Linked DNA regions of Yarrowia lipolytica. The protein of the gene in region 4 purifies or fractionates together with the protein of the main gene of each other region. This does not show direct contact. Links are inferred from orthologs where the notes say so. Each region holds a gene or a part of one and is shown on either strand. Other genes may lie near its edges. The genes, in order: YALI1_F28744g, YALI1_F39001g, YALI1_E26336g and YALI1_C07137g.

What was found.
Region 1: the proteins of YALI1_C07137g (region 4) and YALI1_F28744g purify together in Saccharomyces cerevisiae (affinity purification with mass spectrometry; 13 studies listed by BioGRID, with this or other methods). This does not show direct contact. The link is inferred for Yarrowia lipolytica from reciprocal best matches to the Saccharomyces cerevisiae genes ARX1 and NUG1.
Region 2: the proteins of YALI1_C07137g (region 4) and YALI1_F39001g purify together in Saccharomyces cerevisiae (affinity purification with western blotting; 10 studies listed by BioGRID, with this or other methods). This does not show direct contact. The link is inferred for Yarrowia lipolytica from reciprocal best matches to the Saccharomyces cerevisiae genes ARX1 and MRT4.
Region 3: the proteins of YALI1_C07137g (region 4) and YALI1_E26336g purify together in Saccharomyces cerevisiae (affinity purification with western blotting; 9 studies listed by BioGRID, with this or other methods). This does not show direct contact. The link is inferred for Yarrowia lipolytica from reciprocal best matches to the Saccharomyces cerevisiae genes ARX1 and RPL5.

The regions. Positions count from the first base shown.
Region 1 is NC_090775.1:2,871,210-2,879,060, forward strand, and holds YALI1_F28744g (uncharacterized protein), read left to right. Parts: upstream 1-3,286; coding exon 3,287-4,807; downstream 4,808-7,851. Other genes in the region: YALI1_F28739t (uncharacterized protein), read right to left, coding at 1-2,715; YALI1_F28765g (uncharacterized protein), read left to right, coding at 5,383-7,005; YALI1_F28807g (uncharacterized protein), read right to left, coding at 7,158-7,851. UniProt on the Saccharomyces cerevisiae protein: GTPase required for 60S ribosomal subunit export to the cytoplasm.
Region 2 is NC_090775.1:3,896,529-3,903,526, forward strand, and holds YALI1_F39001g (mRNA turnover protein MRT4), read left to right. Parts: upstream 1-3,572; coding exon 3,573-4,274; downstream 4,275-6,998. Other genes in the region: YALI1_F38954g (uncharacterized protein), read left to right, coding at 1-1,354; YALI1_F38986g (uncharacterized protein), read left to right, coding at 2,136-2,789; YALI1_F38998g (uncharacterized protein), read right to left, coding at 2,980-3,366; YALI1_F39009g (uncharacterized protein), read left to right, coding at 4,405-4,914; YALI1_F39022g (uncharacterized protein), read right to left, coding at 5,376-5,759; YALI1_F39041g (uncharacterized protein), read right to left, coding at 6,363-6,998. UniProt on the Saccharomyces cerevisiae protein: Component of the ribosome assembly machinery. Nuclear paralog of the ribosomal protein P0, it binds pre-60S subunits at an early stage of assembly in the nucleolus, and is replaced by P0 in cytoplasmic pre-60S subunits and mature 80S ribosomes.
Region 3 is NC_090774.1:2,630,082-2,637,306, forward strand, and holds YALI1_E26336g (60S ribosomal protein uL18), read left to right. Parts: upstream 1-3,584; coding exon 3,585-4,580; downstream 4,581-7,225. Other genes in the region: YALI1_E26320g (uncharacterized protein), read right to left, coding at 443-1,939. UniProt on the Saccharomyces cerevisiae protein: Component of the ribosome, a large ribonucleoprotein complex responsible for the synthesis of proteins in the cell.
Region 4 is NC_090772.1:710,336-717,912, forward strand, and holds YALI1_C07137g (uncharacterized protein), read left to right. Parts: upstream 1-3,431; coding exon 3,432-4,886; downstream 4,887-7,577. Other genes in the region: YALI1_C07109g (uncharacterized protein), read right to left, coding at 1-594; YALI1_C07117g (uncharacterized protein), read right to left, coding at 975-1,379; YALI1_C07152g (uncharacterized protein), read left to right, coding at 4,940-5,037, 5,433-5,660, 5,830-5,936, 6,436-6,545; YALI1_C07170g (uncharacterized protein), read right to left, coding at 6,550-6,684, 7,300-7,416. UniProt on the Saccharomyces cerevisiae protein: Probable metalloprotease involved in proper assembly of pre-ribosomal particles during the biogenesis of the 60S ribosomal subunit. Accompanies the pre-60S particles to the cytoplasm.

The DNA.
Region 1 (7,851 bases), on a different chromosome or scaffold from region 4:
GGGTGATAATTTGTTGATCTTGTCGCACGCTAGTTCGTTCAGCTCTCGGATGAAGGTGTTGTCGATCTGGCTGACGTAGGGTCCAAGGAAATTCAGTTTCGAGAAGAAGTAGATGTTGATCATCCACGCCTTGCTGTAATAGGGGAGACCCCATAGTGAAAGGCGTCGCAGCGACTCCTTGAGGTCCTCCTTGATCTGAGCGTAGTGCGTGTCCAACCTTTCGCGATTTCCGAAGTGTACTCCGAGGTACCGGAAAATGTTGTCAGATGTCCGGAGCGTCGGGGCCTGTCGTGTGTTGTTGTCGGTTGGCCAGGTGGCGTCAATTGTTCGCTGCCATTCTGCGTCAATAAAGGTTAGTGGAACAAAACAATCGGGGGGGCCGATCTTCTGAAGCACCGTCTTTGACGGGTTTAGTGTGAGGCCTGAGACCCGTTGGAAGAGGCAGAGCACTCTACCAACCGTGGCCACGTCCTGGATGTTGTTGAGGAACACCGCTATGTCGTCCGCGAAAGCCGACACCTTCATGTGTCCAGCTGCCACTGCCTCCGGGTGAGTAGGGGGTTGTGGCGGCCTGTGCCCAGTGGTGTGGTGGTGGGATAGTGGCAGGCCTGGGGCCAGTCCAAACATCTCTCGGTCCAGACGACGCACAAGTGCGTCTACTGCGATGATGAAGAGGGTTGGAGAGAGAGGGCATCCTTGTCTCACTCCGATCTTGATGCGGACTGGGCGAGATAGGACACCTCTGATGTTGATTCTCGTTACTGCGTTCTGTTGTACAGCTAGGATACGGTTGATCATCAGTTCCGAGACACCCACATTTCGAAGCGTCTTTATCACCCAACTCTGGCTGATAGTGTCGTAGGCTTTCCGGAAGTCCAGTGATCCTACGACCCAACCCATGTTCAGCTGGGAGTAGGCGTTGCAAAAATGATCCATGGTGTCGAGATTGTTAGTGATGTGTCGACCCGGTACGAAACCGTTTTGGGCGCCGTGAATGCTGTCCGGAAGAATGTTCTGGATGGCTTTGTTAATGAGCTGTGTGTAGATCTTCACCTCTGTGTTGATCAAAGAAATAGGCCTGTAGTTGGAGATGTCGGCCTGATCTCCCGACTTGTACAGTAGTTTGATGATAGCGGTGTTGCGTTCGGTGCTGATGGGCGAGTCGGCTCCAGCTTCGTTGTAGACGTCCGTCATCAAGTCCCCCAGCTCATCCCAGCAGTCGCGGTAGAACCTGTACGGGATGCCGTCTGGCCCTGGCGCGCTGTTGTGCGTAGACGCCTTGATGGTATCGAAGATCTCCTCCTTGGTAAAAGACGAGTCCAGGCTTGGGTTAGCTGTATTCACCCTCCGGGTTTCTTCGGGGAAGAGGTCTAAAAAGGCGCTGTCGTCGGTGTCGTTGATATCGGCAGCTCTGTCGAAGATGTTGTCAAAGTATCGAGCTGAGATGTCGCAGAGAGAGGAGGTGTCGGTCTTCACTCGGCCTTGGTGGTTCCGTAGGGAGTGGATCTCCATCTGTTGCTTGGATTGTTCGACCCGAGCATGGAGCATCGGGTATGGCTCGTTAGCTGGGTAGGCTTGCCAGTCTGAGGCTGTTGCCATGAGGGCCTCGCGGCGTCTGTTGTCTGGGTGGTTGGAATCTCGAAGTGCGCGGTTTTTGGCTTCCTGTTGGATGGTGACCTTAATGTTTTCTTTCAGGCATTGCAGCTTCAGGCTGGGCTTCAAAGGACCATATCGCTTCAGAATGGATTTGACGTGGAACTTGAGCCAAGCAATGTACTCTGTATCAAAAACCCACCAGGGCATCCTCCAGGTGCCTGGGCCTCTGTCTTGTCGCTGGGTGAGGTTGCCAAAGTTAAAGACGAATTGGACCGCGTGGTGAGAGGACTTCGTGATGTTGTGACCCTGCTTGTTGGTTACCAGTTGTGTGGATTTGATCCACTGTGAGAGTGTCGAAGAGATGTGCAGCTGATCCAGGCGCCTGCCAGCTCCGCGGCTGTTGTTGGTGTGAGTGTAGAGGCCTTTTCTGTGTTTGCTGATTAGAGTGTAGGTGTCTAGTAAGTCCCAGTTAGCTAAGAAGTCCTTAAGGTGAGTCGTCACTTTTTCGCCAATCCTGCCGTCGTTGGAGGCGACCGCGTTCCAATCGCCTGCCGCTATCAGGGGGTATTGGCAGGGATGGAGGCGTAGATAGTCGTCTAGTGACTGGTAGAACTGCCGGTTAGTGAAGGGGGAGGCTCCCTGCTCGTTTGGTGCGTATACGTTGATCAGCGATAGGTGTCTGTCGGTGCCTTTGATGTGCACGTCGGCCAAACACAGTCTGTTGTCTAGGGCTGGGAAGTATTCAAAAACTGTTGTAAAGTTTGTGATGGTGACGTTGTCGGAATAGACTAGCCCCACGCCGACGCTTCTATTAGAAACACCAGCTGTGGAGCCGAGGAGGGTGTAGTGTCTGCCCCCCGGGTAGGGCGAGTTTGAAATGATTTGTTGAGCGGTTTGTAGGGAGGAGTCCACCCAGTTCGTCTCTTGAAGAAGGACGAGATCGGGGTAGTGAGTAGTTCGAATAATGTTTACAATGGTGTCGGGTAATCGGTTAAGCGCTTCCGCCATCTTAAAACCGCCGATGTTAGCCGTGATGACTTTAACATTCGGAGATTTCATTTTGGCCTGGGTGCTCTTACATGGGGCTTTAGAAGGGGTGGTAGTAGAGGTGAAAGACATGCTTACTGGTTCTGCCCCGGTCGGAGCATTGTGTCCACCTCATGGAGAGTGGTCACCCTAGGGGGGTTCGGGGGACTGTTCGGGGGTTCTACAATCTCGTCTACCGAGCTGAGTGTCGCACCGTCGTGGAAAACTTTGAAGTGGCATGTAGACAGGAATGTCGGGCACCTCCCGTCAATGATGAACTGTGTGTTAGGCCGGTGGGAGAGACACTACAGTATGTATTAGAGAGATGCAGGTATATTGTTCAACTAAAGATGTAACAACAACGTAACTATAATTCCACCCAATAGACAGCATGGAGGTTAGAGCTCGCGTAACACCCTATCTTACCGAAGATGTAGATATACTGGGAGAAAAGTGAAATTGACAATCGCTTTCAAATAAGCCAATAAACCAGTTCCACTATTTAAGCAAACCTCTTTCCTTATGTTTACACCCCAAGCCTATCTTGCCACTCACAAGTTGCCTCCCACAACACTGCACCTTGGACGATAAGGTTTTGAAGTTTGAATTTTTTTTGAAAATATATTCAGCGTGCATTTGAGAACCACTCCACACACAGTACACAATGCCCAAACCAAAGGCCCCCACATCCAAGCGAACCTCTACTCGACTGAGAGAGGGTATCAAGAAGAAGGCTGCCGCCCATGGTCGAAAACAGCGAAAGCTCGCCAAGAAGGACGTGACCTGGAAGTCCAAAAACAAGAAGGATCTCGGTATCCCCAACTCCTTCCCCTACAAGGAGCAGCTTTTGCAGCAGCTGGACGCACAGAAACAGGCCGAGGTGGCCGAGAAGGAGCGAAAGAAGGAGGAAGCTCGACAGGCCCGAGCTGAGGCCCGGTCTCGAGGCGAGGACGTGCCTGATGAGGAGGAATTTGAGGACAACCCCATGGCTGCTCTGTTGGCCAGTGCACGGGCTGCTGCCGAGGAGTACGATGGCAGTGATGACGAGGACGAAGAGATGGAGAGCGAGGTTACGGAGCTGGATGTCAAGGTCAACCCTGGTGATGATGTGTTTAACGAGTCTTCGCGAAAGGCCTTCGACAAGATCTTCAAGACCGTTGTGGACCAGGCTGATGTCATTCTCTACGTTCTGGACTCTCGAGATCCCGAGGGAACCCGGTCTCGAGCTGTCGAATCTGCCATTCTGTCCAATCCCGACAAGCGACTTATTTTCATTCTTAACAAGGTTGATCTGATCCCTGCCGAGAACCTGCAGAACTGGGTCAACACTCTGCGACTCACCTTCCCCACTTTGCCCCTGCGAGCTGCCAACTCCGGTCCCGTGACCGGCCGACAGCTCTGCAACAAAAACGTGACCCAGCAGTCCACCTCCACCGCTCTGCTGGACGCCCTCAAAAAGTACGCTAAGGACTCGCAGCTTAAGCGGTCTGTCATTGTCGGAGTCATTGGCTACCCTAACGTTGGAAAGTCATCCATCATCAACGCTCTCACCAAGATCCATGGAGGAGGACGAGCCTGTCCCGTCGGAGCCCAAGCCGGTGTCACCACCGCTCTTCGAGAGGTCAAGATCGACAACAAGCTCAAGATTCTCGACTCTCCGGGTATCGTTTTCCCCTCCGAGAAGGCCAACAAGGTGCAGGAGCAGGCCCGTCTCGTGCTCTTGAACGCAATTCCTGCTAAGCAGATGGTCGACCAGGTTCCCGCTGTCCAACTGCTGCTCAAGCGACTCACCAACGACGAGTCTCTGTTGCAGCAGTTCATGGAGCACTACTCTATCCCCCCTCTGTCGCACGCCAACTTCAAGGACTTCACCACAAACGTGCTAATTCACGTGGCTCGAAAGACTGGCCGACTCGGCAAGGGAGGAATCCCCAACCTCGAGGCTGCCTCCAAGAACATCATCAACGACTGGAGAGACGGGCGAATTCTCGGATGGACCCAGGCTCCCGAGTACACTGAGGCCCTTGCCGACGAGGAGAACCGACCTGGTATCTCGTCATCCAAGTCCCTCAAGGCTCCCGCCAAGCAGCAGGACACCAAGACTGTGGTCCAGGAGTGGGCCAAGGAGTTTGATCTCGGCGGTCTGTGGACCCCAGGAGAGGATGACGAGGACGTGGACATGTAGGAGTGCAAAACGGAAAGTACACATGATATGTAATAGGTTATAGTATAGAGCATTATTTGGTATTTCAGAGTGTGTAGGAGAGGGGTACAACCAACTACGACGTAGTTCGGATGAGATCAGGAAGTGGACAAGTTTAGCAGTCACTTCTAAACCAAGCATATGGGGGCGATTTGAAGGTCGTGTGTCCATGCACTTTTAGCCATCATACTTGTGCTTCTCTCGTCTAATGTTGATCCATCATAGCAATCCCTTTTCTGACCAAACTAAGTTATTATTGTTTCCCGATTTGGACAGTGATGAAGGAGTCACAAGACCGTTACAGCAGTGTTTTTTTGGCGGCTGTAGTGGAAGTGAGCAGGATATCAACATATTAATCAAATCAAAGACTATATATGACTGTTCTGGTACCTTTAACGTCTTCACACGACCTACACCGACTATGTACCACCACCCGTCCGCTCTTATAAGAACGTCCACTTTGGGACATCGGATATGCATACGCGTCTAACCACCGCCATTTAGTATTTTCGACAGTGACGCGACCAGCTAGACATCCAAGAGACAAAATTACGATAATGAGTGAACTGGAGCAGATTCGTCTGGCCAACATTGAGCGAAACAAAGCACTGTTGGCGGCTCTGAATCTTCCCACAGAGGCCAAAAAGGAGAGCGTGGACCCTGAGGTTGCGCCGAAGAAGAGTAGGAAACGAAACTCAGCTCGACTTGAGTCGCCTGACGATGGATCTGACGATTCCGCGCCCAGAACTCGACGAAAATCGCGTCGGCTGCAGGGTCTGGATCCCGAGGCAAACGCACTGAAGCAGGAGGACCTGGGAGGCAGCGGTGAGCTCAAGCGACTGATGCAACAGCTCAATGGAGGAGTCAAGAAGGAGCGACTGTCTGGAGATCTGAGTCTCAAGGAGATGCTAACTAAGACTGGACTCGACGAAAAGGAGTGGAGTGCGTCGCTGGGCCAGCTGTTTGGAGACGGATCGAGGGTCAGTCAGGGAGATTTCTTTGATGAGATTGTCAAGAAGGAAGAAGAGGATACTAAGGACATTGACATCAAGCAGAGCAGAGACAACTTGAGCGGTCTGCAGCTCGGAAAAATGTCCAAAGTAACTAAAGAGCGAATCTACATCACTGCTGTGCATCCTGGTACAGATAAACGGATTGTTTTGGCCGGAGACAAGATTGGAGTGTTGGGTATTTGGGATGTTGATTCCGATAACGAGCCCCTACAGTTGCAATTGCACCACGCTACCATTCCTGCTCTTTGTTTCGATCAAAATTCCAACGATATTTTGTATTCCGCTTCCTATGACGGTTCTGTGAGAAGTCTGGAGCTGAAAACAGGCAAGAGTGGAGACGTTTTGGACTTGGAGGCCAAGAAGAACGCCAGTGTCGGTGTTTCGGACGTGGCAAATCACTCCCAACCTCATCTTCTTTATGCCTCTACTCTTTGCGGTCACCTGATTCGAAAAGATCTACGAACGAAATCAACTGAATATGAGACTCTGATTCTCGGAGAAAAGAAAATTGGTGGCTTCTCGGTGGACCCCATCAACACTCATTTGCTTGCGACCGGATCGCTGGATAGATCGATGCGAATATGGGACCTGAGAGCAACTGAAACTGCCAGAACCATTCCTGGGGGAGAAGTCATCGACACACAGTTCCAGATGCCCCATCTCCAAGCCATCTACAACTCCCGACTGTCTGTGTCTTCTACCGACTGGAACCTGGCTGGCCAGATTGTCTGCAACGGCTATGACGACACCATCAACATCTTCAACCAGAGTGACTACTTCTTGGATATGTTGAATGACGGTAACGGAACAGAGCCTGTGAAGAAGACCCGACGAACCAGAAATTCCAAACTTGCTGAACCCGAGATCAGCGACCAGGAGCTGCCCGAAATCAAGAAACCTTCCGTTCGAATCAAACACAACTGCCAGACTGGCCGATGGGTTACTATTCTCAAAGCTCGATGGCAACAACAGCCTCTGGACGGCGTGCAGAAGTTTGCAATCGCCAACATGAACCGATACATTGACATTTATTCTGGCACTGGTCATCAGCTTGCTCATCTTGGTGATGCCCTCATGACTGCTGTTCCTTCTGCTCTGGCTTTCCATCCTACTCAAAACTGGATTGCAGGAGGAAATTCCAGTGGAAAGATGTATTGGTGGGAGTAGAGAGTAATATTGGACACACATTAATAGTTAACGAATTATGCGATATGATATGTACTCTAGAGACGGTCATTTAGACAGCACCCCATGATACATTCTACACTTGAGGTGTTGTCATTTATACTCATTCATGCCATTATTATATACTCCTCCATCTAAAACAAGCCAAGTAGATCATCATTGGCTTTTCCCTGTCCCTGCTGCTGCTGTTGCTGAGCAGGCTGTTCCTTTGGTTTTTCCGAACCGTTGCCAATATTGAGAGAGGCAAAGGCATCTGCGGTGTTAACAGCAGACAACGAAGCAAACGGGTCGGCAGGGGCAGCCATGGGTGCAGGAGACCCCATAGAACCACCCATGCCACCCATGCCACCCATTCCGCTCATGCCACCGCCCATGCTGCTGGAATTTCCAAACAGTGACATGATGTCGTTCATGGAAGAAGCTCCAGTGGCACCAGAGGCACCAGAGGCGGCAGCAGCAGCGTCCGTGTTGCCGTCTGTGTGCGAAAACAGACCGTCGAGGTCGTTCAGGTTGTCGGTGTTGGCAGCAGCAGAAGCGGGAGCGGCTCCATCAAAATCGATGTCCAACAGGTTCTCAATGTTGACACCTCCGGAAGCAGCTCCAACAGCAGCCGCGGCGGCACCGTCTTGAGCAAGCGCTCGCTGCTCCTCGATGGCTCGCTTCTGTACAGCATCAGCGCCAAACTTGCCCTTACCCATGAAAGTAGAGGCAGGTCTGTGGTAGACCGATGCGAGAGTGCCCAGCTCGCTCAGAAGCTCGTCTAGGAGAGCAGGCTGAACCTCAGGGATAATAGAAGCAATGGGGGGCTTATCGGCTCCAACCACACTC
Region 2 (6,998 bases), on a different chromosome or scaffold from region 4:
GCACAATGTGGAGGAGTATGTGGTGCACCAGCGAGAGCATGATGGGAACGATGAGGACTGCAAGGACTGTGGCGATACCAAGAAGAAGTCTCGCACTGGAGGCAGTGGCGGAAATGCACAGCAAGGACAGCATCCTTTGGTTCTCGTGGACCAACCTCCTTTTAAGAACACCCCTGGGGGAACCAACATTTCGAAGGTGCACAACAACGATCCCAACTACACCTCGTTAGAGTCGTATCTCGACAACCTGGATGTCGACGCAGTGATCCGAGCAGTGTACCCTCTATTGGAGTTCAAGGACTCCGTCATGTCTTCCCTGGAGTCTTTCTTTGGCGACTCCGATTCTTCTACAGCGCTCGGCATGATGGCATCTTCTATTTCCGACGCTCTTTCCTCATTCACTAACTCAATCATCAACCCAATCATTAATCCCATCTTGGAGGCAGTCACTGAGATTCTACATGCATCTGTCACTCTGCTGTCATACCACGATGATCAGATTGACGTATGGATTAACTCAAAGTCCACCGATCCCACTCATTCTCGACTGTCTAAGGACCATTTTGCAGCATACCTAAACGAGCCTGCTGGCCTCGTGGCTGCAGAGGTGGTCAAATACGTCGTTCCCTTTGTGGTAGAAGCCTGGGAGGATCCCTCTATTGATCCTCAGACTGTTGTGGATGAGGCACTCCAAACATTCCATCATCCTGCTCTTGCACACACCAAGCTGCATCGAATCATGCGGGCCGAGGTGGATCGATGGATTCAGACCTTCTCTGACGAGGAGCGAGAGCATATTCTGGAGGGCCTTACCTCTAGAGGCGTTCTTCATGGCCACAATAATGCTGAGCACTTGGATGTGAACAACGTTACTTACGAGGACCCTTTTGATCATACTGGTAGTGAAGAGAAGGCCTCAACCTTCCTTGATTACATTGATTACTTTGGCTTCTTCAACCAGCAGGGTTCCGGCTCTGGCTCTGGCTCTGGCTCAGGCAGCATGAAGCGGGAACACAAGGATAAAGCCGAGGATGTGGCCAACGACATGGATGCTGAGGGAGCAGCTGACTCGGAAAAGCATCATCAAGACCATGCTGACACGGCCCAGAAGAAGGCTAAGGACAATGCAAAGAAAGGCGAAGCCAAGCATAACGAGAAGGCCAAGGCCAAGGCCAAGGCCAAGGCCAAGCCTAAGCCCAAGTCCAAGAAGTCTAAGAGTCAAAAGACGCATTTCCACGACCATGCTCACCATGTCGAGGACCATCCTGACATGGCCAAGCAGCAGGCCGCTGAGCAGGCTGCCTCTGCTCATGACGAGGAGGGTTCAGCTAGACGAAAACCCCAACAACCATAGACTAGATAAGAGTACCTACATAAGCGTTGTGCTTGACATAATTCCCTCTCTCCAGTGTCAATAAAATATTTAATAGACGACGACTCCAGTGTATACACATCCGATACAAACAAGCATACATATATACATATTGCCATGAACATGGGTATCTCGGAAAGAAAGCGTGACCGGGTTTAGCTCTATAGGATTTACTCTTATCAGCTCATAAGACGGTTGTGTCTCTCCACTCATATCAAGCCATGTTAACACACGGCCTCGAAACGCTTATCCTTATCGACGATTAGAGCTCGTCCAAGGGAGGGAAAAATAGCCGTGAGGGGCAAACCGATCTATTCAGGTTGTTGGTAACTGCCGCCTTTTCTGCACCTGTTTCTCATTCTAGTCTCGCACTAAAATCAACACCCGCTACTGGCAGCTCCAAGCGGGGGGCATGGGTCAAGTATTGGTATTAGCTGCGATAGTGTATGATAAGCCAATTACGACCACACTCTAAAGGGTGGGAGAACTGCACGCGACTCTCTCAAAGAGGGGAATTAGAATGGACTCCTCGAAGCCTTATTCCAACCCGTTCAATAATCACCCAAGCACGGGCATGTATGTTTATGTGTTTTCAGTGTTTCGGAACATCCACGGCAGTGCCGAGATAAGACTTGAGGTATGCAGGAGTGGGTCGAGATGGGTCAAATTTTTATGCGTGTCAATTGAACCCTAATATATATATTTTGGTTCCAGAAAAGCGACCCTACTTTCCGTTTCTACCTTCCGTCACTACACACACACAATGTCTTCCTCGCCCATTCCCTCCAACGTCAACGTGCTTCCACAGACCCGGCAGCTTCTTGGTCTCTACTCCATCATCCGGGACAAGAACACCTCTCGGTCGGACTTCATCTTCTACTCCGACCGAATCATCCGTCTGCTTGTCGAGGAGGGTCTCAACCAGCTGCCCGTGACCGATAAGCTCGTTAAGACGCCAACCGGCGCTGAGTTCAAGGGTCTTGCATTTGAGGGAAAGATTTGCGGAGTCTCCATTATGCGAGCTGGCGAGTCCATGGAGCAGGGCCTTCGAGACTGCTGCCGGTCCGTGCGAATCGGTAAGATTCTCATTCAGCGAGACGAGGAGACCGCCCAGCCCTCTCTATTCTACGACAAGCTGCCCGAGGACATCTCTAGCCGATTCGTCTTCCTCCTGGATCCCATGCTTGCCACTGGAGGTTCTGCCATGATGGCCGTCGAGGTTCTCATTGCCCGAGGCGTCCCCCAGGAGCGAATTCTCTTCCTTAACCTCATTGCATCTCCCGAGGGTATTGCTGCTTTCGCTGAGAAGTTCCCCAACGTCCAGATCATCACTGGTGTCATTGACGACGGTCTTGACGAGAACAAGTGGATCCAGCCCGGTCTCGGAGACTTTGGCGACCGATACTACTGCATTTAAATCCGGTCTCCCTGGAAACAACTCACATACCCTTCAGTATATAAAAACATAATCGTATATGATTGCATACTTGTAATAAATGTTAGCTATGGATCGTTTGTGTGTGTGTGTGTGTGTGTGTGTGTGTGTGTGTGGAGATGATGGATGAGGTGCAATCTAAACTGGTTCCGGGGGCTCGATGCTGGATGAATCAACTCATTGTAGAATTGCCTGGTCCTTCATTCATACCCTCCTCATCATTTGCCACTTCTATCTGTCTTTGTTGTGAGGTTGGATCCAGTGCTTGTATGTTTGTCTCTGCTTTTGCTTGAGCTTCCGCGTGAGCTTCTGCCTGTGACTCTGCTCCCTGTAATACCAGATTCTCCTTGTAGATGCGCAATTCCTCCTTTCGAATGTCGGATTGACGGAAAAACTCGATCTGCTCGTCCGTCAGAGTCCGTTCAACTCCATCAGGATAGAAGCCCAGGGAGGGCTCAGTGTCCTCGTCTTGACCTGCCTCATCAAACTTGATTGTGCCCTGAAACTCGCCTAGATGTTTCTTATGGAACTCCAGCAGATCCTGGGTCGAAATAGACATGTTTTTGGGTGGCGAATGGTACAATAATTGAGTGGCCACTTACACAGACTGCATATTGGGTGTTTTGATTTTGGATGTGGTTTCGATAGAGGAGTATCAAAGCTAATTTTTCTGCCCTCATGCAAAGCCAAAAAAATATTTGCAGCTAGTGCAGATATTTTGGCAGGACTTCCCATCCATCTTCTAACCACACAGCATACATCACAATGCCCAAGTCAAAGAGAAACAAGGTCATCGCTCTCACCAAGGTCGAGAAGAAGACCCGGGAGGACAAGGAGGTGATCGTCGACGAGATCCACAACTACCTCGACGAACACAAGTACTGCTTTGTCTTCTCAGTAGAGGGCATGCGAAACACCTTTTTCAAGGATCTCAGAGCGGACTGGAAGGGCAGCAGAATATTCTTTGGCCGAACCAAGATCATGGCCAAGGCTCTCGGCAAGTCTGAGGAGGATGAGTACAAGGCTGGACTCGGCGCACTGTCTGAGTACATGTCTGGAGATGTTGGTCTTCTGCTGACCGACGAGGAGCCCCAGGTCGTCAAGGATTACTTTGAGTCTTTCGTTCGGGAGGACTATGCACGAGCCGGCCAGGTCTCTACCGTTACTTTCACAATCCCCGCCGGCGTTGTCCATACCACCGGAGGTAAGATCCCCGCTGAGGACGATGTTCCCGTTGTGCATTCTATGGAGCCCACTCTCCGATCTCTGGGTATGCCCACTCAGCTCAAGGCCGGAAAGGTGGAGCTGTTCGCCCCCTACGAGGTCTGCAAGACTGGCCAGACTCTGGATTCTCGACAGACCCGTTTGCTCAAGCACTTTGGCGTCACCAGCTCTTTCTTCAAGGTCCACACTGTGGCCTACTACGACTCTGAGAAGGAGGAGGTTAAGCCCTTCATTTCCGCTTAGATGTCTCGGAACATATTAATCAATCATTAGACACGTTTCAATAGAATAACTATGGGAGGAAAATATTGTAGTTTTACGCTGTATTTCCTTGTACAGTAATTTGTGCATATCTAATTTGTAGTCATTTTCCATGTGGGTTAGCTCAAATTTATTCGACACCTTTTATGCAAGGCGCGGTGCTGTCCATTATCAACCTCAAAAACTTTCGACCATGAGCAAGAAATCGTTGGCCGCCGTTGGAACGCCACTGGATGAGCTGAAGGAGAACCAGACCATCGCCAAGGTCGCCCAGGCCAAGGGCAGCAACATATACGAGGTGACTCTGCCTCAAGACTTCTACAAGAGCCACGGGTTCAAGAGCCCAGAGGTCCAGGTTGAGATGCCACCCAAGTTCAGACAGACCGTGTGGGTCAAGCGGGGTGGCTTTGTTGTTGTTGACGTGACTCCCGATGACAAGATTGCCGGTGATATCATCGAGATCGTGGTGGACGATCGCACATGGCGAAAAATGCCCTACTGGCCCGCCGAGTTCAAGAAGGTCGGTGGATGGCAGCAGGATTCCGACGAGGAGGAGGCCGATCCCTTTGCTCTTCCTGACGACGAGTCTGATGAGGAGGAATACGAGGAGGAGCAGAGTTAGGGGGTGAAGGGGTTCTAAGCGGTGTATATATACTGGAGATGATATACAGTTGGACACCTTCTCTCTGTCACACGACCTGACGCAACAGCTAGACCCATGTCAGAGTCGTTCAAAAACTACAGCATGTAGCTAATCTTTAATACATTCATATAATAAAGCACACTTGCAATTGTACTGTAATGCTTTAAAGTACAGGTACCAACAGCGATAAGCGTGAACAGAAATAAAGAGTAAGCCAACTGCTCTATGTTCTGATACACGCTAACAGTACTTCACGCTACACGACATGGGCACGACTACGAGGTCCGTAACTTGGTATACAAAGACAGGCGCAGATACAATAAATGAGCGGCTACGCGTTACACACGGCTGTCCTCCGCCCGACACCCATCAGGCCCTCTTTTCAACAATATATTCATGCAGCACAATAAATACGATACTTCTATACGTGGCATGCGGGGTTACCACAAGCTCCAGCCGTCGGGGCCTCGTTCCAGCTCCTTGATTTCGGAAATGTCTCCATTGGTGAGGTGTCCGTAGATGTGCGCAAACTTTTCGTTTCGCGATCGCACAAAGTCCCACTGTAGTCGACATCCGGGCTTGCAACCCACGGCACCCTCGGTTAATGGGGCGCCGGGAGTGTCGGGAATGTCAATCGCCAGCAGATAAACGCGGTCGTGCTTGTTGAAGTACTTGTTGAGCGTCTCCAGCAGCTGAGCCTTGGTGCTAAGGTGGATGAAGCCGTCCTGGATATCAAGGGGCACGCCAGGCAGCACGGTTTCGGGGTTGACGGTGCCGTTCTGAACAGCCTCGGCCGGCAAGGATTCCAGAATTTTGTAGATCATGGCTGCGGTCGCTTGAGATGGGTGGTTTTTTAAAAAGTCGGTCTTTAGAAAAAGGCAGACTAATAATCTCCTTGGTGATGTGTAGTGAGGTGGGTGGAGTGAATATCCAAATTAGACTTAGACGGATTATAGTGCGTGGTGCACACACCCGCTGGAATGTGCCTGCTGTACCTTTCGGAAAATGAAAATCGCAAAGTTAATCAGCTCGCTTGTGTAACCGAGCTGTAACTGTATGGACTGAAGTGGGGCGGGTGGCACCAGCTGACACGAGACTCTGACACAGCGAACATTTTTAGGACTACCGACTCGAGACCTTATCAGGAGACCCCAAGACTCTATCCTGCCAACAAGTCTGTTTCAGAGTTCTCAAATAGCTTTCTCCTCTTTGCTGGCTTGCTGCACGGAATAAAATAACGCCCATCACGCAGCATACATATATGGTGTCATTTCCTGTGAGAAGTGCGGTACAAGACAGGAACCAGGCATAGCAGCCAATTTTTTTTATTGCAACACTTGCTTCTATTCAATAATGTACTGTTTATATTATTACCTAGGAGTGGCGTCGATTCCCGCCTCTCCTTGATTTACCCCCACCACATGCAATTAATCCAAAATGTAGTTACCCAACTTGTCCATCTTGAGGTTCTCAATGCCTCGCTCAGCAATGGCCTTCTCGAGGGGATCCTCCTCTTCTTCCTCCTCTTCTTCCTCCTCCTCCTCTTCTTCTTCCTCGTCTTCCTCGTCGTCTTCCTCCTCCTCAATGTCGTGCTCCTCCTGATCAGCATCCTCGATCATCTCAGCGTCCTCTGCAAGCTGCTCGTTCTCCTCATCGTCCTCTCGGATCTGGTCGTCGACGTCGTTCTCGTCCACCTCCAGACTCTGGGCCAGAGCGGCCTCCAGGTCCTTGGACTGCTTCTTGGAGAAGCCAGATGCACCCACCAGCTTGTCGATAGCCTCACCCTTTCGCTTCACGTCGCGGTCGAAATCGGGCCAGGTCTTGGACACGTAGCCCAACTTCTTTCGGAAAAAGAGCTTGATACACTCCACGTCTCGCTCAAAGTACCGTTTGGCGTCCACGTGGTCGATGGACACACACTGAGGGAAATCAATGACGACAATCTCGGACTTGGGGTCCTTTCGATCAAAGTTTTCTCTGATCATAATGTTGAACTCGTTGAAGTCGCAATGGATTAGTCCGTGCTGTGCCAGGCGCACAATGAAGTCCATCAGGGTCTGGTA
Region 3 (7,225 bases), on a different chromosome or scaffold from region 4:
CAGAAATAAAACGTGAACAAGCGAACACGAATGTCATGCGCTCTTCTGAACAACCGATGTCGAATCCGAATCCGATTTGCGGGTATAACATTGCCTTTAGCCTCAAGTAGATGAAATGTATTTCCCTAGAATAAAGAAAACAGAATCTTTGGCATTGAAACAAGCCGATTCACTGATGGTGATCTAACAAAAACAGCTTTAATGAGATTAGCTGATACCAATTATATTTATATGACATTAGTCGTGGTCAGAATTATTTTCATTTGGTTTCTGTCACGTTCTTCATGATATGGTAATACGCAGATAGAGGAGCAGAGTATGTACTGTAAGACCAACGTGAATCTGTCGCCAATGACACCACCCTGGGACCATTTTCGGTATATCTGTGCAGTGCCCCTACCGGAATTCAATCATTTCATTAACATATAAATAACAGCCATATTCACAAATACTTATTGAGGATCAACTTGGCTTTGACAATGGCAGTAAGAACATCCTCCTCCTGCTTACAAAGAACTGGCGCCTTTTCATTCTTCTCGTTGTACGAGGACAACACCTGGAAACGCGTCGTCCTCCCCTTCCGAAGATACTCCAGGACATCTTTTGGCGAAAAAGTGTCAGAACCGATCTGAAGGGCCAATTTCACCCACAATTGAGCATGACCATAAAAGGCGTAAAGCACTGGAGAGTAAATCTTTGAAGCTCCTCCTTCCAACAAGCCACGATCAGGGCTGTCACTTAACGCCACCTCTAGTAAATCCATAGCATCATCGTACAACTCCTTCTCCTCTCCTTTAGAAACTCGTTCCAAAAACTGCCCAGCATTGACGACATGTCCTGCCCGTTGAGTGCACCGTTTGATGTACTTATGAAAAATGAAGACAGTGTAGTAATCTGGTAGGTAGACACAGGGGTAGACCTGGGGAATCACCTGATGATGAGTAGCAGTAAAGGTAGTGAATCTGTCGAGCAGGTACCACTCAGCCTTCGGCTCTGCGCCAAAAAATTCGACGTTACTCCGCAGAATTTCGACCCATTTTTCTCGTATGACCATACTCTCCACAAATGCAACCTCCCTAAGATGGTCAATTGTCTCGGGATCGAAATTGGGACCGAAATCTACATCTCCAATGAACAGAGGAGTGATGGGTCGTCCCTTGCCTGGTAGGATTCGGTTGCAGATTTCGGACATGCTGCCGTGGGAATCGTAGAAACTGAGCAAAATGAAAGGGTCAGCCTCGACAATGTCCTGGATCACATGCAAGAGAGGTCGAACGGTTGCCCAGGCACTCAGATGTGGCGCACTGGGGGACCCACTGCATGCCAAGTAGTACCCATAGACTGTCCACAGCGATAACCACAAAGAGGTTCTTGTGTACGACAACAATGGACGTAGATGATCAGAGAGTTTCTTCAGATTTTCATTGTGAGGCACCATGTCTCTCAGCAGATTCGAATCCATTCCTTCGTGTTTTGAACGATCGACAGGTACCTGTGCCACATCGTCCCAACCTTTATGCTCCAATGTGCTTGTCCGAGTTTCCTTCGCTTGTGTTGACGTAGTGTTCGATTGCTCGCCCTCCTCTTCGATATGGTCAATGAGAGATGATCGTAGCACAAGTTTCATGCGTTCTTGGGCTGGTCCCGATCCCTTGGAGAACTCCAGCAAGCGTCTCAGAAGGGCGGTGGCGCGTGCTCCAGGCGTCTTCTGACAGTCGCGTGTTCCCCGATGAACGCTGTTGTACGTCATAGTCTTGACGGTCTCCCCTCCTAGGTGCGAGAGAGGATACGCCGCGAGAGTCATGAGAATGGCTGTTTCTTTGGACGTTGGCAGCTCGACGGGGGTTCGGAGCAGACCCGTCTCGAGCACGCTGAGAGCCTCGTCAAAGATGCATGAGTCAAACAGATGGCTGGCGAGTTCCAGATGTCGATATTCCATGTGTGGTGGCGGCGGAATCACGTCCACAGATCCATATTGGCGTAGAGAACTCTATGCAGGGCCATGCAGGTGGCGGAGATATCGATGGAGCGTGCAATTAGTTACACAAATCAAGAAGAAAAAAAATAAAAAATAGCGTCATTGTTATTCGGGTGATTGAATCATTTTTGTCATTTTTGCTTGTTTTTTCCTCTTGTATATCACTAATACAATAGTTCGTTGACATTCGGGGAGTGGAAAGTAAAAAGCTAAGTATACACTTAACCATATAGTCCCTTTGTTAATTACAGTAGTTGAGATAACGGAAGAAAAGCAACAGCGATACAAGTACCTTATAATGAAATGAATGTATATGCAGAAAAAAAAAAAAAAACCTGGGCAAGTGTCGAAATTTGGGAATGGGCACGGGTCAGAAGAGCATCTAGATTATCAACATTATATCCTCCCTGTACTCCATTGTTGGTCCGGGCATCGTTACAAGGATTCGTGGACACTTCTCCAAGCTACAAGTAGCCTGACGTACAATGATCAATATGGTGTACTAGAAATACCTGGTGGTGTGGACAAAAAGAGAATAAGAAAGATAGTTGACCACTATATGAATATCGGAAGTCCAGGGGCCTGTATCAGCAATCCACTTGAAGTCGTCAACTGGCATGTCCAACACTAAAGTAACAGCACAGATCTTTATATGCCCACCTGGCGTATACAATGGATGCTATGGGGAAGGAAAAAAACATCTTCGGAGTAACATTGATACGTTTAATCCAATTTCAAGCTCCTTGGGCTCTCAGATTGCCCTAAAATTCGTCTGTTGATTCCTTGTACTCGGTTGCACGTATGGTAGACCCACAATCAATCCATTAACAAGATAGTCGCACACCATGGAATGAAAACGAGTACAGTTCTGCAACAGTAGTACTATTTTTAAAGCGATCATCTAGTTATAATTTATATATGCTGTACTCCTCGTGCCACAGATGTCATACTTGTTGAGATATACTACCCAGTGAGTCCACAGCATCTTCTGAGTACATGAACTTGTACATTATAAATTGATAGAATAATATAAATATGAATAAATAATAAATCAAATTTATATAAATAAAAGAATAAGAAATAAATAGTAATAAATTAATATGGGTTTTTTTGTTTTTTTTTTTTTTTTTTGTATAAAAAAGAGTGTACTACAACTCCTAACAAGAGGTTTGGACCCGTGACACACAACAGCGTCATGCAGCACAAATGGGTGGGGGTAGAAGACAAAAAGTATCTCGGTTTTTTCTGAAGTCTTCAGGGGGTTCGATGGAGTCCGATTTTTTCTTCTCTCAAGCGTAAAGATCCGATGAACATATTTATGTGGTTATATTGTGGGTTATTTTCAAATATTCCATTTTTGGCGATTTTATACGATATTTGAGATACTGAAATGTCACATAGGGGTGGAAATAAGGAGCCAAAAGAAATTAGTTTCAATGATATAAAATAAAAATAAAAATAAAAATAAAAATAAAAATACCACTAAACCTCTTGATTATCTATCGCCATTCAATCGACTCTGTATCCTTTTATCATCATATTCCCCTCATTTTTTCATCATTGACCCCTCTCCTATAAATTAAGGTTCAAAATCCACTCTGATCACATGACTTTTCCCTTTTGGGAAAACAGTCACAGGCTTGGAAACTCCCAAGGTCTATTTTTTATAATGGTGAAAAATCCCGTCTCATCTCATCAGTCTTCATCAACAATGTCGTTCAACAAGATTGTCAAGACCTCTGCCTACCACTCTCGGTTCCAGACCCCCTTCCGTCGACGACGAGAAGGTAAGACCGACTACTATGCTCGAAAGCGACTCGTGACCCAGCACAAGGCCAAGTACAACACCCCCAAGTACCGACTTGTTGTGCGATTCACCAACAAGGACATCATCGCCCAGATTGTCTCTTCCCAGCTCAAGGGTGACATTGTTTTCACTGCCGCCTACGCTCACGAGCTTCCCCGATACGGTGTCAAGCACGGTCTTACCAACTGGGCCGCTGCCTACGCCGTCGGTCTTCTTGTTGCTCGACGAGCTCTCAAGAAGCTCGGCCTCGACGAGACCTACAAGGGAGTTGAGGAGGTTGAGGGTGAGTTTGAGCTCACCGAGGCCGTTGAGGACGGTCCTCGACCCTTCAAGGTCTTCCTTGATGTCGGTATGACCCGAACCACCACCGGTGCCAAGTGCTTCGGTGTTCTCAAGGGTGCTTCCGATGGTGGACTTTACGTCCCCCACTCCGCTTCTCGATTCCCCGGTTGGGATATCGAGTCCGAGGAGCTCGACTCCGAGACCCTGCGAAAGTACATCTTCGCTGGCCACGTTTCCGAGTACATGGAGGAGCTTGCCGATGATGATGAGGAGCGATTCCGACAGATCTTCCAGTCTTACCTCGACGACGAGGTTGACGCTGACTCCGTCGAGGAGATCCTCCAGGCTGCCCACGAGCAGATCCGAGCTGACCCCGACCACAAGCCTACCGCCAAGAAGACCAAGGCCGAGTACGCTGCTGAGTCCAAGAAGTACAAGCAGAAGAAGCTCACCAAGGCCGAGCGAGACGCCCGTGTCCAGGCCAAGATCCAGGAGATCCGTGCTCAGCAGTAAGCGCGATTTTCGAATCTGTAAAAATAAAACTTTTAACCCATTTTATGCGGAAACGACTGGCCTAAGACCAGGACATGAAAGCTACCTGTAGATGATTAATACACAGTAATACCCGAGGGACGGAGCGTTAATAACGAGGGAACAATCTGATCTTTACGAGCAAGCAGATTGCAGTTCTGTTTCCCTTCCGAGCTGATATTCATTCAGAATCAACAGTGAAAATTTTGAAGGTTCATGCAGGCGGCTGATCGCAAGGACTAGGAGGAGGTAGATCTGAGAAACACTGACATCATAGTAGATACAGAAGGGTGAAATGTTGAATGCAAATGGCGGGGCAGTCAGTAGTATTACTTTCAGTTTCCATTTCAGCTAAAACTATCTACTATGATGTCTGTGGGGACTCGGTATGCGGACTACTCATACTGTACGATACTTGTAGTCGTTAGAAAGAAACGGGCATGGTGAGTTGATAAAGATAATTACTTGTAGTTGTGTGCATGGAAATGACATCTGAGAATCGTTGGTGACCACAGAACCCATACTTCTTAGACAGACTATACTCTGATTGATACAAGTGTCCCGTTCGCTCTTGTATAGCATGGTATACAACCCTTCATCTGTGGCTACCAGACCAGAACAATCCCGCTTGACAACTTCTCAATTCACACTCAAGTCGGTGACCCTTTTTGATGATCCTGTGTCCACATTTATACCACAATTATCCGTATGGTTCTTGTACAAGTACCATCCTGTGTACAAGTACAGGATGTACTTGTATATGCTCACAGTTTAGATGCTATTACGAACCTACAAGTAGCTTGTACATCAACTCTCGTACAAATACTCGTACAAGTAGTTCATGTTTATAGCATCACTTCTCATCCATGTCTCACCGGTTGGTCTTCCACGGAACACTACTGTGCTTGTTACGCTCACCTCGTGTTTGGGTCTGTGAACGGAGAGAGAGTGGAAATATACTTGTAGCGTTTTGCCAGAAGTCTTCGTGTCGACAGTTTGGTTAATCTCCAGCTTCAGCACTATTGTTCAGGTATTCAGCGTTCTTGTGGGTCGTGTCAGAAGTGCATTAATTCATACTGCCTCCATGTACTCGTACTGTACTTTCACGGGTACTCACCGAAGATACTGTCAAGTCCATGAATGGGCGTCTCACATATCTGCCGGAATGGCGAGTCAATTCTTCACACTCTATAACTTCCTCATTCGGTGGATGTCTCTTGTACAATAACAGCAAGTTGGTGGAGTTATGAGTGTATTTTCGGGGGGACAGGCAGGGCAGCAATACCAGAACACTCATACTGCTGCTCTGCCAGTATCATGAAGTTTTCATTGTCAACAGCCTTGATATCCGTCACCAGTCTTAATTTTTGCCAATTTCCTCCAATTTCCTCCAATTTCTTCTTTCTTCTGTAATGCAGAAAAAAACTCCGCATCCACTTTAGCCGACTCTGGGACGCGCACTGCATTAGCGAGCGGTTTAGCGACCGAGTACATACTGTAGCTTCTGACGTACCTGGCTACAGGTACAATGAGCCGCGCTGTGAGCTCAAATCAACACCGAGGATCGCTCAGTCATCGCCAAATTGTTGCTTCTCCGCGTCGCTCCAGCCACGTGACCTAAGTTTGCTCATTTTTTTCGTCCCGCTCTCTCGTCACGGACCTTTTTTTCAACATGCACCAAGTGTCGTTCTATTTTTGCTGTTTGTCTCATTCCGGCATGTCCTGTAGCAATATGGCAAAATGGCGGGGCAACAAAGAGGCGCGGGACATGGGCTTCAAGACACAAAAGCCCGGGGCAGAGAAGATGTGAGCGTCAAAGAGGACAAACAGGTGGTATGGCGCGAGTAGACACGACCGGGATGCTTGCGCATCTCAAACGATACCGTTTTTCTCCCCGGATGCTCGTCTCGTATTGCGCAAATCGCTCAAAAAGGCCTGAACTCTTCTGCAAACGGATTCGGGGAAGTCTAACCCACTTTGACCTTCCCCCACTTGTTTTTTTGGGCTAGACTAATGTACAATGCGTCTTTGTTTTTGTTTCACCTTGGTAGGGTTAGAAAAGAGCACGAGTGTGAGTGAAAAGCTGGTCCTTAGACTTGGTTAATATGGCAACCCGTGGACGTGACCACCGTCCGAACCGTGCGAAGAGGGCCGCTTCCACTTGTACAGCGCACTTGCCCAATAATACAGCGGTGCAGACCAGCTGCTGGGATCGTCGAGATCGACATGGGTATAGAAAAAGAAGACAATATGGACGGCCAAATGGCAGATAATACGGGCAAAAAAACAACCAACCAGAGGGGCGGTAACGGGACCAGTCTACAGGGCCCCTACTCAGCAGTACCAACTCCAGATTCACAGCCCCTTGGCCCTCTACATACCTCCAGAGCACATGTCTCACCTAACATTCTTGTTGACCGACACCAGCAACTTTATTGGTGGGCAATCCGGACTCTAGTCACTGGCCGGCAAAGGTGGAGCTATTGTAGGTCGCAAACTACCGCTAAAGTACAGTAGTGCGATGGTACGGCTGAAAATTATGCCGGTAAAACGGAGCTGAAGCTGCTGTTCCTTTTCCGCTCCAGGAGGCCGCGGAGGGTGGTGGTGTTGGTGTCACTGTCAATTCG
Region 4 (7,577 bases):
ATCTGTGTGTCCATCAGCGCCCTGGAAATCAATCTGCTGATTCATCCGCAAGTCCCATCTGCTGATCACGTCATCAACTCCTGCACTCCACACCGTCTCGTGTCCATCTGTAGCCACGGCAATCACGGGATAATTCGTTTCAATCACACGTGACTCGCTATCCTTCTCTCGAGGATCCCAAATGCCAATACTGCCATCATCCGAGCCACTGTAGATCAGCTCGTCGTTTTGTCCTCCACAAACCACGTTCACAGCAGCCGTATGGCCCTTGAAATTCCGGATCTTGTGTCCGCCATCAAAAATGGAAATCGTTGTGTCTGTAGAACAGGTAACCATACGATGCTTGAGGAAAATCGCGCCCAAAACTGCTCCCTTGTGCTTTCCAACCTCGTACTGCTCAACCGTGTCATCACGTGACAGCTTCCACAGCTTTACCAGTCCCTCCAGATCGCCTGAAAGAACCTCCTTGTCTGCACTCAAATCACACGCCAGAACCGGGCACGAGTGTCCAATCAGCTGGATCGACGTTTCTGTCACGTGATCTGACGCAACATGCGTCGACAGTTCGGTTTTCGGCTTCTTGACCAGCGACATGGTTGTGTATTTTTGTATTAGAGCTCATGACAATATCGAGATGGAATATCTTGGTGGTGTGCATATATGCTGCAGTAGGGTAACTGTTGGGTTTTTTGAAGAAATGGGCAAGTTTTTGGTATCAAAATGGCCGCCTTAATGGGGCGACAAAAATGGTGCCAATTATTAAACGGATGGGGTTTGATTTATTTAGATTATATATGTTTGTAGCAACAGTCGAATGAAGGTATTTCAAAACCTTATTTAGAAGATGTCAATATATACGAATGTTGGACCATTAAATTAATAATATCCCTCCTAAATTTGGGTAGACAGGGTCCATGGAAGGAAGAGAGCCACTTTTCATCATCTATTATCACATATGTATGTCACTTAGTGCTCTACACCTCCTCCATGTAGTCTAAGGGCTCGTTTCGCATGTTCTCAGGAGGTTCGATGGAAGGAATGAACTCCAGCACCACAAAGAGAGCGCCGATTCCGAAAATAATGAACGAAATGAGGTATCGGAAGAAGCCACCAGACATGAGAATGGCGGCAATCAGAATGTACAGAATACCTCGCCCCACGAATGAGAAGAGGAACGAGCCGTACTTATGTGCCACTGGGGGGGTGGCAAACTCGAGAGATGCAATTGAGTAACCAAAAATGATAAGATAGAATGAGAGGAGAATCTGCGTTAGTAATGGAACTGGGTTGCCAAAGGTTGGGACGACAACAATCGATGAAGGGCAGTATCCATGGCGAGGAGGCCATGAGCGAAGCACATCAGAATGAGCAACAGTCATTGCCAGGCTGAATAGTACGTCTGAATCAATAGCACGCCAGAGGGGATAGCACGCCAGAGGGGATAGCACGCCAGAGGAGATAGCACGCCAGAAAACTACCAACGATGTGAAACAAGACAGATCGTGAGAACGATCCCATTGAACCAGCAGGAATAGAGGACTTTGCTGGAGACAAGGTTCGATTCTCTGCAGCCCATCTGTGGTATCTGTTTTCTCGTTTCTGTTGTCTTGTTCCGGTTCATTGTTGTTCCGTTGGTGCTCATCATATTGCTGGTATCGCTGAGTGCTCCGGCACAGTCTCGATAGGTGCTCCGACACAGTCTCTCGTGATTGCCATTTCCACTGATGTCTTCAGCATATCAATTATGTTGGGCTATCGTATCAGTGGCAACCATCGCTGTCATTGTCCGTACAGTACTCACATCTTGTCTGAGTTAGTATTGAAGAGGTAGCAAGTCCAGCTGGCCCGATTGAGCTATGATTTAAGGGATTGTGAACAGCAGCCTTTAGAAGCATTCAGTCAAGTGCTTCTAAAACACCTCTGAAATGTAGTGCCAACAGTGTGATGCGCAACGTGTGTGGATGCCGTATCATCACGTAGACAGAGTACCTGTATCTGAGGGTCCCCTAACAGCCACTGTCGTCACAAAAAGACACCCAAGCGCCGCTGTATCGCCAATCCCACACAATGTTGTCGCTCAAGCCCTCAATCTCCAGTCACTGCTCCGACTTGCCCCCTACCCGCGCCCATACCGTGTACTCACAAACTAAGACCCAACTGAGTCAGTCCTCCAACGACGGTCAAGGCGCCAACGCCGATATTGGCGAGCCGGAACGCACCGCCCAAATCCATGCCTGAAATCGCCGACATGTCTGTGTGTATATTCTTGTGTGTCTTTTTTTGGTGTGTGTTGTGGTGTGGAGATGGCCAAGTGGGATACTGGAGATATGCACGAGGTGCATGTGGCGCTGGACTGGGAGGGTGGTTACTAGATCTCCGAGAGGAGCTATGGGGATTTTAATGATACCATTTTGATCGACTAAGCGAGAGGAATGGAATGCACCTTTCAGAAATTCAAAACTGCCACTAATCGCCATTGTAAATCCCCCCCTAATTCCCTTAGTAAGCTCGTCCCGTTGACTCAAACTAAAATTAGCCGCTGATAGCGAGCCTATAGTGGTCACATGAGATAGAGAGGTTGGTTGTGTGGCGATATTCGAGAGAAGGGAGCATGTGGGTGGTTAGTCAGACGAACATACTGCTTAGTCAGGTCAGACGTCACCGCTCATTTGCTCTCTCTTCTTTTCTCTCCTCTTTTTTTTTTCTGCAACTCTTGCTCATGTTAATTTCAATCCAACTAATGGCTCAACTAAAAGAAAGTCATCAACTAAATCTAAGTAATACCAACTAAACACTACTTGTTCCTGACATGGCTTCTCGGGATAAATATCTTGTCGTATATTAGTAAAAACTATTTAATCTTCCCCACAAAGAAGCTTCAAAATGCTTTCTTGTTCAATTATCACTTATGGGAGCTTTTATCGCACCAGTACATTCTTTACCATAGTCCCTACACCAGCTCCCCACAATATACTCACCATATGCCCCTTAATAAACCCAAGAAGACCCAATATTGGTATCATTCCACTCCTCCAGAACTCAGCTTTCTATTTCCACCACTATCCCCTCTATTTCTCCAAGTCTTCAAACAAGACAACCCCTCAACATCGCCACCAATGGTCAACAAACATCACATCTATAGTCTCAACTAAATATAAGGTTCTTCAACAAATTGTCGTATCAAACCACCGCTTCAATCTTCCCCTAAGCTAATTAAATCTGCTCAAAAACAGTACTGTAGATTTATTACATCATCCTGACCCTCCAGCCCAAATCTCATGTCTTTATCTCTTCTCTGGAACATACCACCGGCCGCCCAAATTACGTCGTTTTAGCTTTTAAGGCCCTAACCCTCAAATATTTTTCCACCTTGCATAACAGTGTAATTTTTTTTTTTTTTGGACCTCACATCTAACCCACAACTAAACATCATGTCTCTGGCCCGATCTACCGCGCTTCTGGACGAAAAAAACACACTGACGAGCTCCGTCACCGACAAGTACCGTCTGGCCGGCAAAATCACCCAGACGTGTCTGCAGCACATTATCCAGACCGTTCTGACCCAATATGAGACGTACACGGTGGGAGAAATGTGCCGTATGGGAGACGAGTTCCTCGAGCGAGCCACCACCGCCGTCTACAAGTCTGTGGCCGAGAAGGGCATTGCTCAACCCGTTCGAATCGAAAAGCAGGAGTTTGTGGGAGGAGTGAGTCCCGAGAACGGCGACAAGTTCCAGGGAGGCATGTTGGCGCCCGGCGATCTGGTCAAAATCTCTCTGGGAGTCTACATTGACGGATATACTGCCCAGGTGACACAAACAGAGGTTGTGCGACACGTGCCCAATACCTCTGCTGGCGAGACCGAGCAGCCTCTGACCGGATCTCCTGCCGATGCGGTCTGTGCCTCCTACCTGGCGTCCGAGGCGGTCATTGCCTACCTGGCCCAGGTGACCGATCCCAACCCCGGCAAGGCTGTTGGAGTTGTCACCGGTACCAAGATCCGAGAGCTCGTCGAGAAGATTGCTGCTGCCTACCACGTCAAGATTGTGCCTGGATCTTCTGTGCGACGTATCCGGCGTTTCCTCGCTGGTCAGCACGACATTGTGCTGGAGCGAGACTACAAGGGCGTTCTCTGGGAGGTTGAGGGCGAGGAGGAGCGAGCTCTTCACGCCGTCAAGCTGGCCGAGTCCGAGGCTAAACAGGAGTCCACCGAGGGCGCCGTCTGTCTGTACGAACAGCACATTGAGGAGGAGGAGAACTTCACCGTGGAGGCTGGAGAGGCCTACCAGGTCGACATTCAGATGGCTGCAGCTCCCCAGAAGGGCGCTATCCGTCTGTACGACTTCCAGGGCTACGACGAGTCTGGAACTGTGATCAACCAGTACGGACGAGACTTCTCTGTCACCTATGGACTCAAGATCCAGGCCAGCAGAAAGCTGCTCAGTCAGCTGGAGGCTACCACCTCCGTCTACCCCTTCAAGCTGTCCCACGTCGAGTCCAACGTTGCCAAGGCCCGTCTGGGTTTGGGCGAGATTCTGGCCCATCAGATTCTGGTGCCTATTCCCGTCAAGGTGGCCAAGTTTGTGCCTCTGGCTGCTCTCTACGAGTTTTCAAAGAACTCCAAGGCCCGGGCCCGAGACGAGGCTTCCAAGGCTGTTCCCGTTGCTCGAAACTCGTCTTCTGTGCTGCTCACCAATGACGCCTGTCTGCGACTCACTGGAGGCCAGGCCTTCCCTCCTCCTTATGTGCACTCTGCCTTTGAGCTGCCCGAGGACGTGACCAACCTACTCAAGCTGGTGGGCCACAAGCACGGAGCCAAGGTCAAGGATGTTCTTCCCGGCGACGTCGACATGGCTCCTGCAAAGGAGGCCAAGATGGAGGAGTAATCGAGTAACCGATAGTAACCGACCGAGGAGACAAGGAGAAGGAGAAAGAAGCCATGGAATTGGCCTATGTTGATGCGATGAAGCAAGCAAGCAATAGCTCACAACGAGCAACACCTAGGATATTTTGGATGGACGTTAGCATTAATAGATTGTTATGATATATGGTTCTCGGGACTGGAGGGACACCGACCACTGTAGTGTTTGTAGTGGCACAGGTACTGCCCAGCGAAGACCAGCTGGCACCATTTCTGTGAGATGCTGAACCTCCATGAAACAATACGAAGCATGACTGAGTAGTTAGATGCTATACCAGGTCACTGTGTATCAGATATCTCCGCCAACCCGTTCTATCCAAATAACAGCTGCGGCGATTCACAACACTGGCTGTATCGCCGTCTCAATCACTAGACAGTCTATCAAGACCTTTATCACCGGAGTGGACATACACTCATTCATGGCTCGTTTACCTACTGTACCTGTAGATGTGCTTGGTCATTATCGCAGGACTGGACGTCATGGCCCATGGCTCTTAGAAACGGCTCTCAGAAACGGCTCCCAGGAACGCTCCCAGGACCTGTATCCGATCTTACAGGCATTCTGTGGAGCTCTAGCTGGTCAAGTGATCATTGGACTCAGTTCCAACGTGTTTGGAAAACCATTGTCGGTCATCATTTCCTGTATCGTTGGAGAAGCAGTTTTTTCCAGAGCAGAGGCCGGGATCAATGAGTCTGCTCTTTCCTCCAGGTTTCCGTCGACTATTGGAAAGTCGTTCCCGTTTACTGTCTGAGCTGGCCCCCCGACGTACCACTTCACCGACGCTACGGCTCGCCTACCTGTTTGGCAACCGGACTTGTTGACCAATATTGGAGAACGATTTACCATTCCCGACGACCAAGATCCCCATCTTTCAGAGTACGATTACGACAAGATACTCGGACCCCAGTGCACCAATGGAGATGGTGAGAGAGAAGGGCAGTGAGGAGTCGGAAGGAACGTCTGGAGAGAAGTTTGGAAAGACTCGAATTGAGAGTCTTGACTCGGATCAAACTCGTGTGGATCACGTAATGTACTCAGGAGAAATCTACATTGTCTCATAGCTACAGACTGTCTTCGTATAATGTACTACATACGGTATTGTACATAGATAGCACCACCTCAATGCACTAAATGGACTTTTTGTATTCGAACTTGTTGATCTTATTACATCAGTGGAATCGTCACGAAATTATGAGTCCATTGGTACCTTTTTTTGGTGGTATTTCCTTTGATAAATGAACAGGTTAGGCTCCTGTAGATTCGTTCTACCATGCTACTACAAGTAAGTACGTGCGAGTACGATACGATAGTAGGCCCGGAGTATATCCTGTAGACGACGAAAAGCCCTCACTTTGTCATTGTAGACTATTGAATGGCTTTTGCGGAAACCAGTGTCTCGACTGTCTGGGACGGTCAAGCTGTGGTGACCACCAACGAGAAGGCCGAGTCGGTGGTCAACTTCCCCACCACCGACCGCTGGCACTTCCGCCCGCTTCACCTTTGCTCCTACAAGTACTGTACTTGTACTCTTGTCCTACTTGTACTCTCTTCTGCCACTTCAGTTCCCTTCTGTTTCCGTTCTGCATGTTCTATCACTGCTCATATAATCATGTCATAAACTAATTGCCTATTTCTTGGAGTCAAGGTGCTTCTCAAGGTCGGCAGTGTCCTGCTTGAGCTTGTTAAGCTGCTTTCGGAGAGCATCGAGCTTCTCCTTCTCCTGCTGCTTGACGTAGAGGTCCTCCTGGGCCTTCTCTCGTTTCTAGGTTAGTATGGTAAAATGAGGTCGAGTGAGTCGTGGGGAAAGCGACCGAGCGCACTATAGAAAGTCATGGTCGCTGGCAATGGGGAAGCCATGTTGATGGCTATAGGGAAAATGTGGTGGTTGATTCCAAAAAGTCGTGGTGAGCCAGGTCAGGATGGCAACAATGTAGGATGGTGACGACACAAGGCGGCCACGCAGGTCTCGAATAATGTCAAGCGTCATTACAGCTCATGTCTAACACATGTATCTCAATTGAGGTGTTTCAGAACTGGAGACAATTGTTCCGTGTGACCACAGCAGTAGCAATTCATCAATCTGACAACAAGCCACGCCAACCAATTGAGCACCATAGAGCATAATGATCCCAGCTTGACACCCAATTAATCACCCAATTGAACCCCAATTGAACCCCAATTGACATCACTCGTTGACGCCACCCACCACAGTGCCACGATAGTACCCCACAGTGCACAGTGCAACACCACCCATGATATCAATTGCCACAAAGCCACACATCTAGCCCCAACTCAGTGCAAACTTCCAACTTCTCTCCTTCCTCTCCTTCTATTCCTCCTTGTCAATGTCCTCATGCTTCTCCTCTCTCATACTCACGGTGAAAGAATCGCCAGATCCCTCGCCTCGGTAGGAACCGGTGGAGCCCTCAGAGTAGAATCGGGCGGCGACTCGAGGAACTCGAGTGACGGTGGCGGTGGTAATTCGGGTAAGCATTGTGTGTGTAATGTGTGTTTGTGAGTCGGAAAACAAGTGGACAGGTGGGAAGGTGGCTTATAGCCGCCTCGGTTGCTCGTAGGGTTAGGGTTCCTCCCAAATCCGGGAATCCATTACCCTCTAGTTTGCAGCATAAATGCACCACATGTATCTATCTGTGC